Saccharomyces cerevisiae S288C: one gene and its partners. The protein of the gene in region 2 purifies or fractionates together with the protein of the main gene of each other region. This does not show direct contact. Each region holds a gene or a part of one and is shown on either strand. Other genes may lie near its edges. The genes, in order: MSL5, NPL3, CAF20 and RAT1.

What was found.
Region 1: the proteins of NPL3 (region 2) and MSL5 purify together in Saccharomyces cerevisiae (affinity purification with mass spectrometry; 2 studies listed by BioGRID). This does not show direct contact.
Region 3: the proteins of NPL3 (region 2) and CAF20 purify together in Saccharomyces cerevisiae (affinity purification with mass spectrometry; 3 studies listed by BioGRID, with this or other methods). This does not show direct contact.
Region 4: the proteins of NPL3 (region 2) and RAT1 purify together in Saccharomyces cerevisiae (affinity purification with mass spectrometry; 4 studies listed by BioGRID, with this or other methods). This does not show direct contact.

The regions. Positions count from the first base shown.
Region 1 is NC_001144.5:378,593-383,373, forward strand, and holds MSL5 (mRNA splicing protein MSL5), read left to right. Parts: upstream 1-2,229; coding exon 2,230-3,660; downstream 3,661-4,781. Other genes in the region: cleavage polyadenylation factor subunit CFT2, read left to right, coding at 1-1,972; CLF1 (Clf1p), read right to left, coding at 3,879-4,781.
Region 2 is NC_001136.10:1,326,480-1,330,990, forward strand, and holds NPL3 (mRNA-binding protein NPL3), read left to right. Parts: upstream 1-2,303; coding exon 2,304-3,548; downstream 3,549-4,511. Other genes in the region: CYM1 (pitrilysin family metalloprotease), read right to left, coding at 1-1,991. UniProt on the Saccharomyces cerevisiae protein: Involved in mRNA processing and export. Required for efficient splicing of a large set of pre-mRNAs by efficient co-transcriptional recruitment of the splicing machinery. Remains associated with the mRNP during early steps of translation elongation.
Region 3 is NC_001147.6:839,550-842,318, reverse strand, and holds CAF20 (Caf20p), read right to left. Parts: upstream 987-2,769; coding exon 501-986; downstream 1-500. Other genes in the region: RIM20 (Rim20p), read left to right, coding at 1,250-2,769. UniProt on the Saccharomyces cerevisiae protein: Acts as an inhibitor of cap-dependent translation. Competes with eIF4G1/TIF4631 and EAP1 for binding to eIF4E/TIF45 and interferes with the formation of the eIF4F complex, inhibiting translation and stabilizing mRNA.
Region 4 is NC_001147.6:418,007-424,671, reverse strand, and holds RAT1 (ssRNA exonuclease RAT1), read left to right. Parts: upstream 1-3,021; coding exon 3,022-6,042; downstream 6,043-6,665. Other genes in the region: phospholipid-translocating ATPase RSB1, read left to right, coding at 940-2,004. UniProt on the Saccharomyces cerevisiae protein: Possesses 5'->3' exoribonuclease activity. Required for the processing of nuclear mRNA, rRNA and small nucleolar RNA (snoRNA) precursors.

The DNA of each region.
Region 1 (4,781 bases), on a different chromosome or scaffold from region 2:
TTTGATGAGGCCCTCTGCAATAATTACTACTTTGGACAGGTTTGGCTCCTCTCAACCGTTTAAAAAACGTTCAAAAATCTTTAAAGATACATTAAAGAAAGGTTTGAGTTCGGATGGGTCCGTTATAATACCGGTAGATATGAGTGGCAAATTTCTGGACCTGTTCACACAAGTTCATGAGTTATTATTTGAAAGCACAAAGATCAATGCGCACACACAAGTACCTGTACTTATTCTGTCTTACGCGAGAGGAAGAACTCTAACATATGCCAAATCAATGCTCGAGTGGCTGTCCCCTTCACTACTTAAGACATGGGAAAACAGAAATAATACTTCTCCATTTGAAATTGGATCACGGATCAAAATCATCGCACCAAACGAATTGAGTAAATATCCTGGTTCAAAGATTTGCTTCGTATCTGAGGTAGGAGCTTTGATTAATGAAGTGATAATTAAAGTTGGTAATTCTGAGAAGACAACCTTGATTTTGACCAAGCCGAGCTTTGAATGTGCGTCGTCTTTAGACAAGATACTAGAAATTGTTGAACAAGATGAAAGAAATTGGAAAACATTTCCTGAAGATGGTAAATCATTCCTCTGCGATAATTACATTTCAATAGACACCATAAAAGAAGAACCCTTGAGTAAAGAGGAAACAGAGGCGTTTAAAGTACAGCTTAAAGAAAAGAAAAGGGACAGAAATAAGAAAATTCTACTGGTGAAAAGAGAGTCTAAGAAACTGGCTAACGGCAACGCAATCATAGATGATACCAACGGAGAGAGGGCAATGAGAAATCAAGACATTTTAGTGGAAAACGTCAATGGAGTACCACCGATTGATCATATTATGGGGGGTGACGAAGATGATGATGAAGAGGAAGAAAACGACAATTTGTTGAATTTACTCAAGGATAACTCTGAGAAATCAGCAGCGAAAAAAAATACGGAAGTTCCTGTAGACATTATAATTCAACCAAGTGCCGCTTCAAAACATAAAATGTTCCCATTTAACCCCGCTAAAATCAAGAAAGATGATTATGGTACTGTTGTAGATTTTACGATGTTTTTACCTGATGATTCTGACAATGTTAATCAAAATAGCAGGAAAAGACCTCTCAAAGACGGTGCTAAAACCACGAGCCCTGTAAACGAAGAAGATAACAAAAATGAAGAAGAAGATGGTTATAATATGAGTGATCCAATTAGCAAAAGGAGCAAACACCGTGCTTCTCGTTACTCGGGATTTTCTGGAACCGGAGAAGCAGAAAATTTTGATAACCTTGACTATTTAAAGATAGACAAAACGCTCTCCAAAAGAACAATCTCAACTGTAAATGTCCAATTGAAATGCTCCGTAGTAATCCTAAATTTACAGAGTTTAGTTGATCAAAGGTCTGCATCTATTATATGGCCATCGCTAAAATCTAGAAAAATAGTTCTTTCCGCCCCCAAACAGATTCAAAATGAAGAAATTACGGCAAAACTTATCAAGAAAAATATTGAAGTGGTCAACATGCCATTAAATAAGATAGTGGAATTCAGTACAACAATAAAGACCCTGGATATCTCCATTGACTCCAACCTCGATAACCTTTTGAAATGGCAACGTATCAGTGATAGTTATACAGTTGCCACTGTCGTTGGCAGGCTGGTTAAGGAGAGCCTACCGCAAGTGAACAATCATCAAAAAACAGCGTCAAGGAGTAAACTAGTCTTGAAACCATTACACGGTTCATCTAGGAGCCATAAAACAGGTGCGTTGTCAATCGGTGACGTTAGGTTAGCACAATTAAAGAAACTTCTCACAGAGAAAAACTACATTGCAGAATTTAAAGGGGAAGGTACACTTGTCATAAATGAAAAAGTAGCAGTCCGCAAAATCAATGATGCAGAAACTATTATCGATGGTACGCCTTCCGAACTTTTTGATACTGTCAAAAAATTGGTTACGGATATGTTAGCAAAAATCTAGCCTTCTTGTATACAGCACAAATAAAAGGTTCAATTTACGTTCGTGGACTGCCCACAAAACAGTATGTGACATAAATTGCTGTGTATCTCGCACCGCTATTATCTGTATATAACATTCTAACTCACTTTTAACGATATTAGCATTATTGATTTCTTTCTTTTTCTGCTGAATTTCACCAAGCGGAAATTTTCAAAGCAGAATTTTTTCCCTAATTTGCTACAAGTGCTATTCTATCCCACAATAAAAGGAAATTGTTGATGAGTTTTAGAAGGATTAACTCTAGATACTTTGAAAATAGAAAAGGAAGCAGTATGGAAGAAAAAAAAGCAAAGGTTCCTCCAAACGTCAACCTTTCGTTATGGAGAAAGAACACGGTAGAAAGCGATGTCCATCGATTCAATTCTCTTCCATCAAAAATTAGTGGGGCCCTAACTAGGGAACAAATATACTCCTATCAAGTCATGTTTAGGATTCAAGAAATTACCATCAAACTGCGTACGAACGATTTTGTGCCCCCCTCCAGGAAAAATAGGTCACCTTCTCCGCCACCAGTTTATGATGCCCAAGGTAAAAGAACGAATACCCGTGAGCAGAGGTATAGAAAGAAACTAGAGGATGAACGTATTAAACTTGTTGAGATAGCCCTAAAGACCATCCCTTACTTCGTTCCTCCGGATGATTACAAGAGACCTACCAAATTTCAGGACAAGTATTATATCCCGGTGGATCAGTATCCTGATGTCAATTTTGTTGGTTTATTATTAGGTCCTCGTGGACGTACGTTAAGAAAGCTGCAAGAAGATTCGAATTGTAAGATTGCAATTAGAGGAAGAGGTTCAGTCAAAGAAGGTAAGAATGCAAGTGACTTACCTCCAGGCGCCATGAACTTTGAGGACCCCTTGCACTGTTTAATTATCGCAGACTCGGAAGACAAGATCCAAAAAGGTATAAAAGTTTGTCAAAACATTGTTATCAAAGCGGTGACATCTCCGGAAGGCCAGAATGACTTGAAACGAGGACAACTGAGAGAATTGGCGGAACTTAATGGTACTTTAAGAGAAGATAACAGGCCCTGTCCAATCTGTGGTTTAAAAGATCATAAAAGGTACGATTGTCCAAACAGAAAAATCCCAAATATACAGGGCATTGTTTGCAAAATATGTGGACAAACTGGACATTTCAGTAGAGACTGTAACTCATCGTCTCAAAGAATGAGCCGTTTTGACAGAAACGCCACGGTAAATAATTCTGCGCCAATACAGAGCAATGACGTACACTATAATAGCAATACTCATCCAATTCAAGCACCAAAAAGATCTCGTTATGACAATAACTCGACGGAACCTCCTTTAAAATTTCCGGCTTCTTCACGTTATGCACCATCACCTTCACCTCCTGCGTCACATATTTCGAGGCAAGCTCAAAACGTGACGCCTACACCCCCTCCCGGCCTAACATCAAGTAGCTTTAGTTCCGGAGTTCCAGGAATCGCCCCTCCCCCATTACAAAGCCCTCCAGAGTCGGAACAACCGAAATTTTCGCTACCTCCACCTCCCGGTATGACTACGGTACAATCCTCAATTGCACCTCCTCCTGGCCTAAGCGGTCCTCCAGGGTTTTCTAATAACATGGGCAATGACATTAACAAACCTACACCTCCGGGACTGCAAGGGCCTCCCGGATTATAATACACTCCCATTATACAATATCTGCATTTTTTTTTATTTGTGTTGAAGGTATGTAGTCTCTATTTTGCATAGTTCCTTTTTTTGTTGGTTTTTTGCCTTCCTGGTTATTATTAACTTTTGATATTTAATTTACTTACTAGCTTATTCTACTACTGTTTAGTTTCTACGGCCTGAACTACAATGACAAAAATATTATTTCACGATACCCTTACCTTTATTCAAAGTGCCTGTTCCTGTTTCCATTTTTTGGCTAGTTCCAAGAACTTTGATGGTTTTGGCTTGTCATCATCGATATCATCAGGAAAAATGTAATCCACGAATTCTTCTTCCACACCGTTCTGTAACCTCACTTTTTTGATTACTTTAGGGAATCTTTTCTTGACGGTTTCTTGATCGAGTTCAGTACCGTAAGTTTCTTCATAGTCTTTTAGCGCTTCCAAAATAGACAGTCTCCCTTGTTTATCATCCTTCTCCTTGAAAAAAACTATCGCCTCTTCAAAAACTTTTCTTGCCTCCAATTTATTCTCATCGGTAATTTCAAACTCTATGTCTTCATCCACATTTTCGCTTTGCAGTTTTGCTAAATCTAATAGTTGTTGCTCCGTCGGGGTTGAAGTTTGATACATGGCGAATTCGATCCAGCTTTGGGGGGAATATTGGTTGAGCTCCAAATATCTTCTATAAAGCTTCCTTGCCTTTTCAAATTCTTGTGATTCTGTCTCAAATGTTATGTATTTTTGAAGTAATACAATTTTAGCCTCCTTTGTTAAGAAATCAGAATTTTCATCTAGTGCAATTGTATATATACCTCTTACTCTATCCCAATCTCCTAAATTTTCTTCTAGTTCTCCATATTGTGACCAAATTTGTAGATCAGAGGGCTGAAATTCAATAAATTTCTCATATATTTTTCTCACACGATCAAATTCCTTCAACTTCACTTCCAACTCGATATATCCTTTGAAAGTTTTAGCCTTAGGACATAAACCGATTGCTTTACCCAAAATTTTTCTCGCCTTCGGTACATCATCATGTCGTATCAGAAATTTAGCATACATTAGCCATATTTTGGAAAAAGTGAAATGTTTATGAGGGATGATGTCGTCAATTAACCTCTGAAA
Region 2 (4,511 bases):
TGGAAATCAGTTTCTAGTAAGATCTTAGACCAGAATTCAAAAATGTGGTCGGTCTTCGAATTTAAAGACCATCCGTCAAACCCGAAAATCAGGCGAGGCTCTGTGGTGTTAGGGTCAGATGTAACCTCTACATGTGTTGATATACCACCCGTATGTAATTTTATCTGATCTTCTATTTCACTGAAGGATTCTGTTGTTGTCCCTAGGTTAGTTAACGATTCAGCAAATAAAGGTAAGTATGGGAAGAGTTCAAAGGGTATTATGTCATTTAGTAAACGTTTACCTCTGACATATGTGATACCATTGGTATCAGTAATCCTAGACATTGTATTATTCTTCTGTTCGATTGAATATTTATCACCAGCTCTTGGGATGTCTTTTATTTGTAAGGTAGGTAAACAGGATAAATCTTCTTTTTCATTTTGTTTCTCCTGTAACAGTATACCACGTTTAAAGATGTTTTTCTTGTCTTGTTCATCCAAGGCAGTAATTTTTTCTCTCAGTCTTGTTTGTTCTTCATCATCCAAAGATTTAGAGAACTCTTCAGATCCCTGAATGGAAAACGTGAAACAAGGTTTATGAACGATATATTTACGGATTAAATCTTGGAATAAAGTATCACCTTTCGTTTCTAAGTCACCTCTAAATCTTTGCAAAACGTCCTCAAACAACAAGCTCTCAAAAGGATCGATTTTGTTTGTCCAACCAGGTAGTATAGAATAGAGTAATTGAAGTCCAAAGTCAGCCTTTTGATCCTTCTTAGATAATTCCAATTGTTCAATTATGGCATCGATACGCTTGCGGTCAAAAGGATGTTCTGTTTCCAACAGGTTTTGAAAAATATTATTTACAGTGTCTTTAAATATTTCAATATCACTCACGCCCTGTATACCAACAGTTAGCAAATTTACTGCTGTAGTTGGTTCAACACCTGAATTTACGGAGAACTCCAAACCAATTCCTGATTCTATTAATTTTTGATACATTACAGAAGAATGGCCATCCATTAATAAATTCCCCAGTACTTTTAACAAAAAGGTATCATATGTGTCCTGTGGCGCTCCACAAATCCACGTCATTGAGGCTTTTGTCTGCTTCTCCGGTGGAAGCATAGTATCTATTTGACCCAGTAACTTGACATCTATGTCTTTTTTTAAATCAATAGGCATTAACAACTTATCCTTTCGAGCTCTCTTCCCGTAACCACTGAACTGCTCATTTAATTGCTTTAACGTATCCACCAATGGCAAGTTACCGTACGTGAAAGTTTTTGCATTGGAGGGATGGTAATTTTTGTGATGGAAATCCAAGAGATCGCCGTATCTCAAGTCTGTAATTTTCATAGGATCTCCGCCGGAGTTATTCAGGGAAGGATAAATAGACTGTTGAAATTTACTCCAGAAATAGTAATTGGCATTTGATATTTGACCTTTCATTTCGTTATAGACAACACCTTTGAAAACAATGTTACTCTCCGGGTCTGTGATGTTTTTATGCTCCAACCTCCAACCCTCCTGATCAAAATCTTCTTGTTTAAGTAGCGGATTCAAGGTGGAGTCTAAATAAACACCTCTTAAATTAGCGAAATCTTGAGGGTTCGTAGTGGAAAAGGGAAAAAATGTATAATCTGGACCTGTCATAGCGTTCATGAAATTAGCTAGAGATTTATTTAGCATTTTGAAAAAAGGGTCCCTAACTGGATATTTAACAGACCCACACAACGTTGTATGCTCTAGAATATGAGGGACCCCAGTGGAATCTGGAGGGTTGGTTTTAAAAGCAATGCTGAACACATTATTCTTGTCGTCTCTATCAATATGCAAATGCTCGGCTCCTGTCTGGGAGTGCACCAAATCTACCGCAGTGAGTCTCAGCTCCGGAACCGGTAGAATTCTTCTCACTTCATAACCATGGAATATACCTCCAACTGGATATTTTCTAACGGCCTGTGCTTGGGCATACGAGGACGCAAATCGCTGAAACCGCAACATATATACCGCAGTATATTTTATAGTAACTTTATTCTTTTGAGTAGCCTTCTAATTGGTGGCTTATTGATTACAATTGCTTGTTATCATATCTGTCAATGCTTGTTCAACAATTCAATGATTTACTACTACCTTTATCATAGAGCCCCTCCGTATATTTATCACTGTAAACGAAGGGCAAAATTTTTTACATTCTTTTTTTTCGCCACCCAAAGGGATTTAAAAAGGACATGAGAAAAATAATTTCCTCTCTTCTAAATATATATACTTTTGAAGGAATCAAAATTAAGCAATTACGCTAAAACCATAAGGATAATGTCTGAAGCTCAAGAAACTCACGTAGAGCAACTACCAGAATCTGTTGTCGATGCCCCAGTCGAAGAACAGCACCAAGAACCACCACAGGCTCCAGATGCTCCACAAGAACCACAAGTTCCACAGGAATCTGCTCCACAGGAATCTGCTCCACAAGAACCACCAGCTCCACAAGAACAAAATGACGTTCCTCCACCATCTAATGCTCCAATTTATGAAGGCGAAGAATCCCACAGTGTCCAAGACTACCAAGAGGCCCACCAGCACCACCAACCACCTGAACCCCAACCATATTATCCTCCTCCTCCTCCAGGTGAACACATGCACGGTCGCCCACCAATGCACCACCGTCAAGAAGGAGAACTCTCGAACACCAGATTGTTTGTTAGACCTTTCCCATTGGACGTTCAAGAATCCGAGTTGAATGAAATCTTTGGTCCATTTGGACCAATGAAGGAAGTCAAGATCTTGAACGGCTTCGCGTTTGTTGAATTTGAAGAAGCAGAATCCGCTGCCAAAGCCATTGAAGAAGTTCACGGTAAGAGTTTTGCTAACCAACCTTTGGAAGTTGTTTACTCTAAATTGCCTGCCAAGAGATACCGTATCACCATGAAAAACTTACCAGAAGGTTGTTCATGGCAAGATCTTAAAGATTTAGCCAGGGAAAATAGTTTAGAAACTACTTTTTCTAGCGTCAATACCAGAGATTTTGATGGTACCGGTGCTCTAGAATTCCCTAGTGAAGAAATCTTGGTCGAAGCTTTGGAGAGATTAAACAATATTGAATTCAGAGGTTCTGTCATTACTGTTGAAAGAGATGACAATCCTCCACCAATCAGAAGATCAAATAGAGGTGGCTTCAGAGGTCGCGGCGGCTTCAGAGGCGGCTTCAGAGGTGGCTTCAGAGGCGGTTTCTCCAGAGGCGGCTTCGGTGGCCCCAGAGGTGGATTTGGTGGTCCAAGAGGTGGTTACGGTGGCTATTCCAGAGGTGGCTACGGTGGCTACTCCAGAGGCGGATATGGTGGCTCCAGAGGTGGTTACGATAGTCCTAGAGGTGGTTACGATAGTCCAAGAGGTGGTTATTCCAGAGGTGGCTATGGTGGTCCAAGAAATGATTACGGTCCTCCAAGAGGTAGCTACGGTGGTTCAAGAGGTGGTTATGATGGTCCAAGAGGCGATTATGGTCCTCCAAGAGATGCATACAGAACCAGAGATGCTCCACGTGAAAGATCACCAACCAGGTAAGCCATTTATATAGTTGAGAAAAAAAAAGGAGAAATTAACAAAAGATATGAATTGTTTTAAAACTTAAATATGAGACTGAGAACAAATGAAAAAGGAAAACATCGTATTAAATGTTGAAAAAGTTTTTTTTTTGAAGAACTTCCTCCCCATTCCCTCCCCTCCCTTTTATTAAGTATAGTTTTTGTTTATTAATAAGTTTAGTGTTAGAAGATCCCAAAGTATATGATTGAAAACAGAATTGTTTATTGCGAGTCCCGACTTCACTCCAGTAGATAGAATAATCCCATGATAACATTTAACATCCTTTTTACAACGGAATTTCATTTCCAAATTGATGAGTCGTTAAAACTTCTGTATTGGATTTTAATTAGACCTTCTTTCGTGTAATACTACTACTACTACCTCTAGATTCTTATGTGTCTTTCAATTTTTTTTATTTCCCTGCACCAAACTATCTTTTATTGAATGGAATGTGCTGCAAAATTAACAAAAATAAGTTTTACTTAAAGTTTCTAACGAGAATCTCCTCTTCAACATACGGGCAGGATAATATAATTGACTATACTGATAATGAACCCCGTTTTTTGTTATCTTGTGAGATAACTCAGTGGAAACTTGATCTAGCAGTAGACCAGTTTCCCCTCCCCCAATTAATACTAGAAAGTTGAGAAACTACAGAAATCTTGTAATTTAACCATTTTTTTGTCCCAAGCCGATCTATTTTGGATATCTTATTGTCATTTTTCAAGTGAAAAAAGGTCTCCCTTTCTATACGAGAGTTCTCATATGGAATGAGAGAATAAGCGGTAAGATATCGAACATTCACAAGAAATAAAGTACCAGTTAAGAGGTGCAATTGAATATATACAATATCCTATCATCTTAGTCCTTTGAGTATGCAAAAAGCTACAAATATAGTTGTTAGTTTGGGTCAGGCTAATTTCAAAGAATTTGAACTCCTAT
Region 3 (2,769 bases), on a different chromosome or scaffold from region 2:
AGGAGCGCGCTGTGAAAATTTTTCGCTTTATCTCTTAGGGCTCCTACTGTCGGTAGAGAAAAGTTGAGTATATTTAAAGCATGAGGTAACTTTTCTGCCCATTTTTACTTCTATTTCCATTTGAATTCAGAAAAGTGAAGCAAAATTACACCATGAGTTCCTATTAACGTCAGCCTCTTTTGTACTCATAATGTGGCTTCGGATGTTTGATGGGCGTTGCTTCAGTGCGTACGGCTCATGGTAGATTAATTATTAGAAAGATGTATCTCCAGCTGTTGATATTAGAGGGGGAAGCCTTTCTCTTTCACCTCGCCTTTTTAAACACCTGATACAGTTGGTCATGATTCGTTCTACATTTTAATTTCTTTATGTAACCACGTTGTATATTTTCAATCTGGAAAGTAACCTAAAAGAGTAAAAACTGTTTATTAAAAAAAATGTTATTCAAAATTTATACATAGTACACGTACAGCTGCCTGAAGAAAGCATGAGCGAATGACTTATGCTTCGTCGTCTTCGTCTTCACTTTCCAAAGCAGCAAATGCGTTGAAACCAAGAATTGGCTTGTCCGCAACAATATCTCTGGTATCAGCAGGTCTGTTGGAAGAAATATTTTTGTTATTTGGCTTGACTTTTAAAGTTTCTTGGGCAATGGTAGCAACTGGCACAGTAGAAGTTGGTGTGGTTTCTGTTTCTTCTTCATCATCTTCTCCACTACCCTTCTTCTTGGCTTCAAATGTGCACCAACCATCTGAATCGGTTGTAACCTTAGGCTTGTTGTGCTTAATCTTTGGTCTACCATGATGGTGGGAAGATCTTCTACGACCGAAATGACCAACATGATGACTGTTAAACTCTTCCTCTTTCAAGTGTTGCAATTGCTTAACTTTTTCAATGATGGCTCTAAATTCCACCGCATCGAAATTAACTTCCAAAGTTAAACTTGGCTTCAGTTGAAAAAGCTCATCGATAGTATACTTGATCATGTCGTGAAATTAAATAAAAGTTCTTAATCCTATATTCAGGTTACAGCTCAAATAATGTCTATCGCAATCGGTAGAATATGCTTTACGCCAAATACTTTTTCCAATTTTTCACTATTTTTCGTCCAGGAAAAGAGATATTCAAGCCTCGCTACTACCCGGCTTTATAATATAGCATAAGAAAAGGGACTATAAAGCCTTATTAAAACACTACTATACCCTTGCAGAGAGAGTATTATTATCTATGGAGATCCAGGCAGTGTGACATGAGTGAACTGCTTGCCATTCCACTTAAGCGAACTTTAGAAGTGGACTTTGCCACGGAGTTGTCAAAACTAATTGATACTACTTCCTTTCAAACGGCATCCTTTTTCCAATCAGACATACTCAAAGTTGTTGATGCAAGAAACAATGCGATTGCACCCGATATCTCAATCGACGGTCTTTCTGCACTGAAGGAATACTATGTAATATTGTTGCAATTAGAGAAAAAGTTTCCCAATAATCAAATAGAATTTACATGGTTTCAAACGCTATCACAAAAATCTCGTGGTACTAGTCAATACTCATTACAATGGGAAAAATTAACCATTATTTATAATATTGGTTGCATGTATTCACTGTTGGCTCTAAATAGCAACAATGATGCAGCCGAATCCCTCAAAACGTCATGTCTGTACTTCCAGAATGCCGCCGGATGCTTTAAACATGTTTTAGACCACCAAAAAAATCTTGAGACAATCCCAGTGGTAGATGACGCCACATTGAACGCTTTAACCTCCCTGATGCTAGCACAAGCGCAAGAATGCTTCTGGTTTAAAGCCGTGCAAGATAAACACAAGGACTCCTTAATCGCGAAGTTGTCACAACAGATCGTGGACTTCTACTGCGAGGCTATTAATGACGCCCAAAGGGGGAAACTTATTAGAAGTGATTGGATAAACCACTTAAAGGCTAAAAAGGCTTACTTTAGTGCGGTGACTTATTACAGAATAGCCTTATCTTTTAATGAGAAGAAGCAGTTCGGAAATGTTGTGAAAGCTCTGCAAATGGGATTGCAATTTATAAATGAATCAACACTATCTTCGCAAGCTAAGTTTAAAACTGTTGTCGAATCTTCTCTGAAAGAAGCCCAAAGAGACAATGAATTCATCTACTTACAAGAAGTTCCTTCGGAATTACCATCGATCAAACCAGCTCTCATGGTTAAACCATCTTCTTCAGCAACATTGTTGCCTTCTATTAAAAAGGATGAGACTTTATTCAAAGACCTAATCCCTATAGAAGTGATGGAATATTGCACAGCATACAATGAAAGGCAAGATGAATACGTTGAACAACGTGTTACCAATCCCCTTGCTTCCCTAAATAAACTATTGAAGGAGTCCTTGACTACTTTCCAAATACCACAAGGGCTTACAAAGGTGAGTGAAGCAGAACTGAGTCATTACCAGGCATCACTGAATAATCTTCTCATTAATAATAAAAATGTGCAGGTACAACTCGATAACATTGAGCAAATTTTAAATGAAGAAGCATTTACTGACAATCAGCTCCGACTAAAACACGGAACCTTAAATTGGACTTTACCCGAATCTTCAACTACTAACACAGCATATTATGAAAAACTAAAAAAGCTGAGAGGATACCTTGATGAAGGTAGTGCGATTGACAAACAAACAAATGAACTATTTCAAAGCATCGATAAAAATTTGATTGGATCAGAGATCAGGTTACCGGAATCTAATGATCCTCTAACGAATAAGATTAAGATGATCATACAGGA
Region 4 (6,665 bases), on a different chromosome or scaffold from region 2:
TTTAGGTTTTTTGGTGCTCAGCCTCGTCATCACCCAATAAAGAGTTTATTATCAATGGCTTCAGTGAAACAAACCAACAAAACTCTCCGAGAGGGCAATCCAGAGCATAGCACAATCTTTTACATCCGCGGAAGCATTCTTGCTCCGTCATATTTCCTTCCGGACTTCGCTCGGACTCTTTTTCCGCGGAAAGATATGGTCTCCGTCGGTCCTCTGTTTCCTATTATATTTGCGCACAGTGACAGTGCGGCAATTGATATGTCAGGGACCACTGGAAAACGACGTTGCCTAGTAGTTGTGGCAGCTCCGATAGTTGACATTCTCATTAGTAACCGAACTTCTTGCACCAAGTCCTGTGCGAGTGCTGCACGGCCATGCCTTGAGGGTTCTGTCGCCCCCTAGCTGTACGTAAGCATCCCCCGTAATTTTTCCGCAAATGTCGAAAAGCTCTTGACTTTTTCTCGCTATCTCGCTCTCTAAAAGGGAATAGGTGTGATTCTGATCGGTTGTACCCACGGAGCTCTAATTTGCCCTGTTTATTTTTCTTTGGTGTGCCTCCCATTTTCACCTAAAACAGTTGAGCTGATGGGCAAAACACTATATAAGGTTTATTATTTGCAGTCGACCCCAGAATCAATAGAAATAAGAAGAGTTTTCCTTGTCGCTTGCACAGTAAAGTATTTTTTTTTTTTCTTTCAGTAGTAGACTTAAAATTCATTACTTTTCTACGTAAACTCTGGTTTCCTAGCAGTTCAAGCAATAGTATACTAAGGGCGTAACTAATTACTGCTGGTTGTTCTAAAATAGATTTCTCACAGTACTTTTTTTCTGATTATAGACGTTGAGAAATTCAAAATGTCCAACGCAACAAATAATACGTTAGGCAGTCTTTTGCCACAGTTAGAAGCAGCAGCTAACAGTAATTCCCTTTATGGTGGTATGGTACCGAACCTTCGTTTTAATATCACGATGATTGTCATTTGGGGTATACTACTGACAATACATGTCGTACAGTTACTGATGCGCCAATACTGGTTTTCAATCGCTTTTATATGCACAGGTATTTTGGAAGTTCTTGGATTTATAGGGAGGACGTGGTCGCATTCTAATGTCGCCGATATGGACGCTTTTCTTTTGAACATGATTTGTTTGACTATTGCACCAGTTTTCACAATGGGTGGTATTTATTATCAACTTGCAAAGCTTATAGAAGTATACGGCCACAGGTTCTCTTTATTGCCCTCTCCAATGGCGTATTCTTTTATTTTCATATGTTCCGATATCGTATCGCTTGTGGTGCAAGCTGTAGGCGGTGGCCTGTGTGGTGTGGCGGTCACAGATGGAACGTCCACAACAACCGGCAATCATGTTTTCATTGCTGGTTTGGCCATTCAAGTTGCATCGATGGCCATCTTTCTTATGTTATGGTTTCACTTCCTTTTCCGTATATATATATCGGTAAGATGGGAACACATAAATTCTAGACCTATCTCATTGAGCCTCTTAAAGATATCGCAAACAGAAGTTGATTATTTATACAGGGAAAAGTTCCATTTTTTGAGACTCGAACCTAAACGTTGGGTTTTTCATTATTTTAATCTGGCAATAACCGTTGCGGTACTAACCATTTTTACCCGTTGTTGTTACCGTTTGGCTGAATTAGTTGTCGGTTGGGATGGCTATCTGATCACACACGAGTGGTATTTTATTATCTTAGATGCATTAATGATGGCCATCGCTACGGTCACTTTGACCATCTTCCACCCTGGATTTGCGTTTAAAGGTAGAAGCACCTCGATTCCAATCACACCGGGCCATGTTGATCCTGAAACTTTACCACATACTGACGATGTTGAAGATATCTTAGATACTTCGGATTCAAAACAATTTGATATTGAAAAGGAGGAATTCCAAGCAAGCATGAAATACCCGATTAGCACCTTCAAACAATTCATGTCCAAAATAGCTAACTTGTTTTCCTCTAAAAAGAAGGCTAAACTTTAGTGATACGTAGAATTTGAATGTCAATCTGATCGTTCATATGCATTTTTCAATTCTTACTTTTTTTCTCGAAGTTCCCGACTATGTTCTGTTTATTTTTTCTCCTATTCAAAAGAACCGGACAGCATTTTTACTTCCTTATATTTCGACATCGTAATATGTACATTTTTTAGTTCACAAGTATTTTTCCCCTTTCAATGCTTTAATCAGCCTTCAACGTCATACATACTTTCTATTTTGTTCCTGTGCCATCGTATAACTTTCCTCGTTTAGTGTTTTCGCCTCAGCTTAATGTAGATCACTGTTTTGACGTTCTTCCATTTTTGGGAACGAACTAAACTAAAAAAAAGAAAACTACAGAGTTTCCCATAGAGAACAGAAAATCCGCTATCGGCAGCTTATAGGGTCATATAATTATGGCGCACATAAGGAAAATAAATTTATTTGAATCAATCAACAGACCTATCTGTTGATATATGAAAGAGAGCAGGAGCGTTAGTTTACCTCCATAAACAGTAAAATTAAAGCAAAAAAGCGTAACTGCTGATTGAAGCCTATATCACCGGGCTAAAATCTTATATCGGTTAAGAAAGTGATTAATTTATAGATATGTTCACGAAATCTTTTCTATTCAAAGATTCACGAATTTTACTCGATTTTTATAGTATACTGAAACAAGTAGTTGTAAAATCAATTCACCAAAAAAGCTTTCCCCATCTCTGATGAAAAACTACGAAAAGTTTACTATCACATAATATCGGAAGTACGTTTTTAAGGCACTGCAATGTATTTTATAATCTTGAACATTTGGAGGTATATTACCTTACTTTCTCATCAGGTTGTATATTTGAGCGTCTCGGGAATGATAAGTCGGGTAACGAGAGTATCTAGATAAGATTTTCAGCTATGGCAATAAAAAACCAAACCTCATCGATGAACCTATTACAACATAAAGACATCCCGTAATAATTAGTGAGACAGGTTCTTCAAGGAAGTGCTACAGCCAAGTTTCGTAATATAATGGGTGTTCCGTCATTTTTCAGATGGCTATCTCGAAAATATCCAAAGATCATATCCCCAGTATTGGAAGAGCAACCTCAGATAGTCGACGGTGTCATATTGCCGTTGGATTATTCCGCCTCAAATCCAAACGGTGAGTTAGACAACTTGTATTTGGATATGAATGGTATTGTTCATCCATGTTCGCACCCAGAAAACAAACCGCCTCCAGAGACTGAAGATGAAATGCTTTTGGCAGTTTTTGAATATACCAATCGTGTGTTAAATATGGCTAGACCACGCAAGGTACTTGTTATGGCTGTTGATGGTGTTGCTCCTCGTGCCAAAATGAACCAGCAGAGAGCGCGTAGATTTAGGAGTGCTAGGGATGCTCAGATTGAAAACGAAGCCAGGGAAGAAATTATGAGACAGCGAGAAGAAGTTGGTGAGATAATCGATGATGCCGTCAGGAACAAGAAAACTTGGGATTCAAATGCGATCACTCCAGGCACCCCATTTATGGATAAGCTTGCCGCGGCCCTCCGTTATTGGACAGCATTTAAACTGGCCACTGACCCTGGTTGGAAAAACCTGCAGGTGATTATCAGTGACGCCACCGTCCCAGGTGAAGGTGAGCACAAAATAATGAATTTCATTAGGTCTCAAAGAGCTGATCCTGAATATAATCCCAACACAACGCACTGTATATACGGTTTGGATGCTGATTTAATTTTTTTGGGCCTTGCCACTCATGAACCACATTTTAAAATTCTAAGAGAAGATGTTTTTGCTCAAGACAATCGGAAAAGAAATAACTTAAAAGATACTATAAATATGACTGAAGAAGAAAAACAATTTCTCCAAAAACAAAATTCCGAACAACCTTTCTTGTGGCTGCACATAAATGTTTTGAGGGAATACTTGTCCGCTGAGTTATGGGTTCCGGGTCTTCCATTTACATTTGATTTAGAAAGGGCTATCGACGATTGGGTTTTCATGTGCTTTTTCTGTGGTAATGACTTTTTACCACATTTACCATGCTTAGATGTCAGAGAAAATAGTATTGATATTCTCTTGGATATTTGGAAGGTAGTACTACCGAAATTGAAAACGTACATGACCTGCGACGGTGTCTTGAACCTCCCTTCTGTTGAAACGCTATTGCAACACCTTGGCTCCCGTGAGGGGGATATCTTCAAAACTAGACATATTCAAGAAGCCAGAAAGAAAGAAGCTTTTGAAAGAAGGAAAGCGCAGAAAAATATGTCAAAAGGTCAAGACAGGCATCCTACAGTAGCTACGGAGCAACTGCAAATGTATGACACACAAGGAAATTTAGCAAAAGGTTCATGGAACTTGACCACCAGTGATATGGTAAGGTTGAAAAAGGAACTGATGCTTGCGAACGAGGGGAACGAAGAAGCAATCGCCAAAGTTAAGCAACAGAGTGATAAGAACAATGAACTGATGAAAGATATCAGCAAGGAAGAAATTGATGATGCTGTTAGTAAGGCTAACAAAACTAATTTTAACCTTGCAGAAGTTATGAAACAGAAAATAATAAATAAGAAACACCGTCTTGAAAAGGATAATGAAGAGGAAGAAATTGCTAAGGATAGCAAAAAAGTTAAGACAGAGAAAGCGGAATCAGAGTGCGATCTCGATGCAGAGATCAAAGATGAGATTGTGGCTGACGTAAACGACAGGGAAAACTCTGAAACTACAGAAGTATCAAGAGATTCACCAGTCCACAGCACAGTGAATGTCAGCGAAGGTCCCAAAAATGGGGTCTTTGATACAGATGAATTTGTCAAACTATTCGAACCTGGTTACCACGAAAGATATTACACAGCTAAATTTCACGTTACTCCTCAAGATATTGAACAGTTAAGAAAAGATATGGTAAAATGCTATATCGAAGGGGTCGCCTGGGTACTAATGTATTACTATCAAGGTTGTGCCTCTTGGAATTGGTTCTATCCGTACCATTATGCTCCTCTGGCAACAGATTTCCATGGGTTTTCTCACTTGGAGATAAAGTTCGAAGAAGGTACTCCATTTTTACCTTACGAACAATTGATGAGTGTTTTACCAGCTGCATCTGGCCATGCTTTGCCAAAAATTTTCCGGTCTTTGATGTCTGAACCTGACTCTGAAATCATTGATTTTTATCCTGAAGAATTTCCCATAGATATGAATGGTAAGAAGATGTCCTGGCAAGGCATAGCGTTGCTACCATTCATCGATCAGGATAGACTGTTAACAGCTGTTCGTGCACAATATCCTTTACTTTCTGATGCTGAGAGGGCAAGAAATATTCGCGGAGAACCTGTTTTATTAATAAGTAACAAGAATGCTAATTATGAGAGGTTTTCGAAGAAATTATACTCAAAGGAAAACAACAACAACAATGTTGTTGTGAAGTTTCAACACTTCAAGAGTGGTTTAAGTGGTATTGTATCAAAGGACGTTGAAGGTTTCGAATTAAATGGGAAAATTGTATGTCCGATTCAAGGTGGGTCACTGCCAAATTTATCTACCACCTTGATTTTAAAGATGTCCTATAGATTAATTCCGTTGCCATCGAGAAATAAGTCTATTATACTGAACGGGTTCATTCCGTCAGAACCGGTACTAACAGCATATGACCTTGATTCCATAATGTACAAGTATAATAACCAAAATTACTCCCGTCGCTGGAACTTTGGTAATGATTTGAAGCAAAATATTGTTCCAGTAGGACCAAAGGGTATTACTCAGTACAAACCAAGAACTGGTGGCTATCGAGCATTCTTTTATTTTGCTGAGCTCAGTAGAAATAATGTCCAACCCGCCCACAACTATGGTAGGAATAGCTACAACAGTCAACCCGGCTTCAACAATAGCAGGTATGATGGTGGAAACAATAATTACAGACAAAATTCAAATTACAGGAACAATAACTATTCCGGAAATAGAAATAGTGGACAGTACAGCGGCAACAGCTACTCTCGGAATAACAAGCAAAGTCGGTATGACAATTCAAGAGCAAATAGGCGTTAGAACTACTCGTGCGCATTTTATTTTATGGTAAATTTAGGTTTTCGCAAATTTATAAAATCTTCATACAATTAAAAAAAAGCTCTTTTAAGATAATAGTGTCTGCTCTTACAAACGACGAACAGTAATATTTTATAACAAAAAATGGAACATATTAAGTTAAGAGAAAATCATGCTGAAGCATGAATATATGAATATACGTCCTCTTGTAAAATAGCGAAATCCTTGTAAGCCAATAGACCGAACTCTATTTTGATTTATACGCTTCGTGTATTTTTTCTTCCAGATCCAGGAGAAAAAGCATGGTCTGTTCTTCTTTTTTGAAAAGAGAGGCAGTCCACGGCGAAAGTTTCGAATACGGCACTACCTTTTTTTTCTAAGTTCCTAAACTTAAAATCAAATTTGGTCTTTGGTCTGTTATCATCCAGGGATGAATGCAACATATTGGGAAGTTCATGCTATACAACGCCAACCCCTTCGCTCAAGTCACGAAAGCACATCTTACACTTCCTCCTTGGCCAATATGCAAGCGTCCTCTTCAAAAAATCTTGCAACAAACAATCGGGTAATGTGGGATGTTGTGGAAAAATGAAATAAAGTTTTCAATAAATCCGACTGAGCTAAGC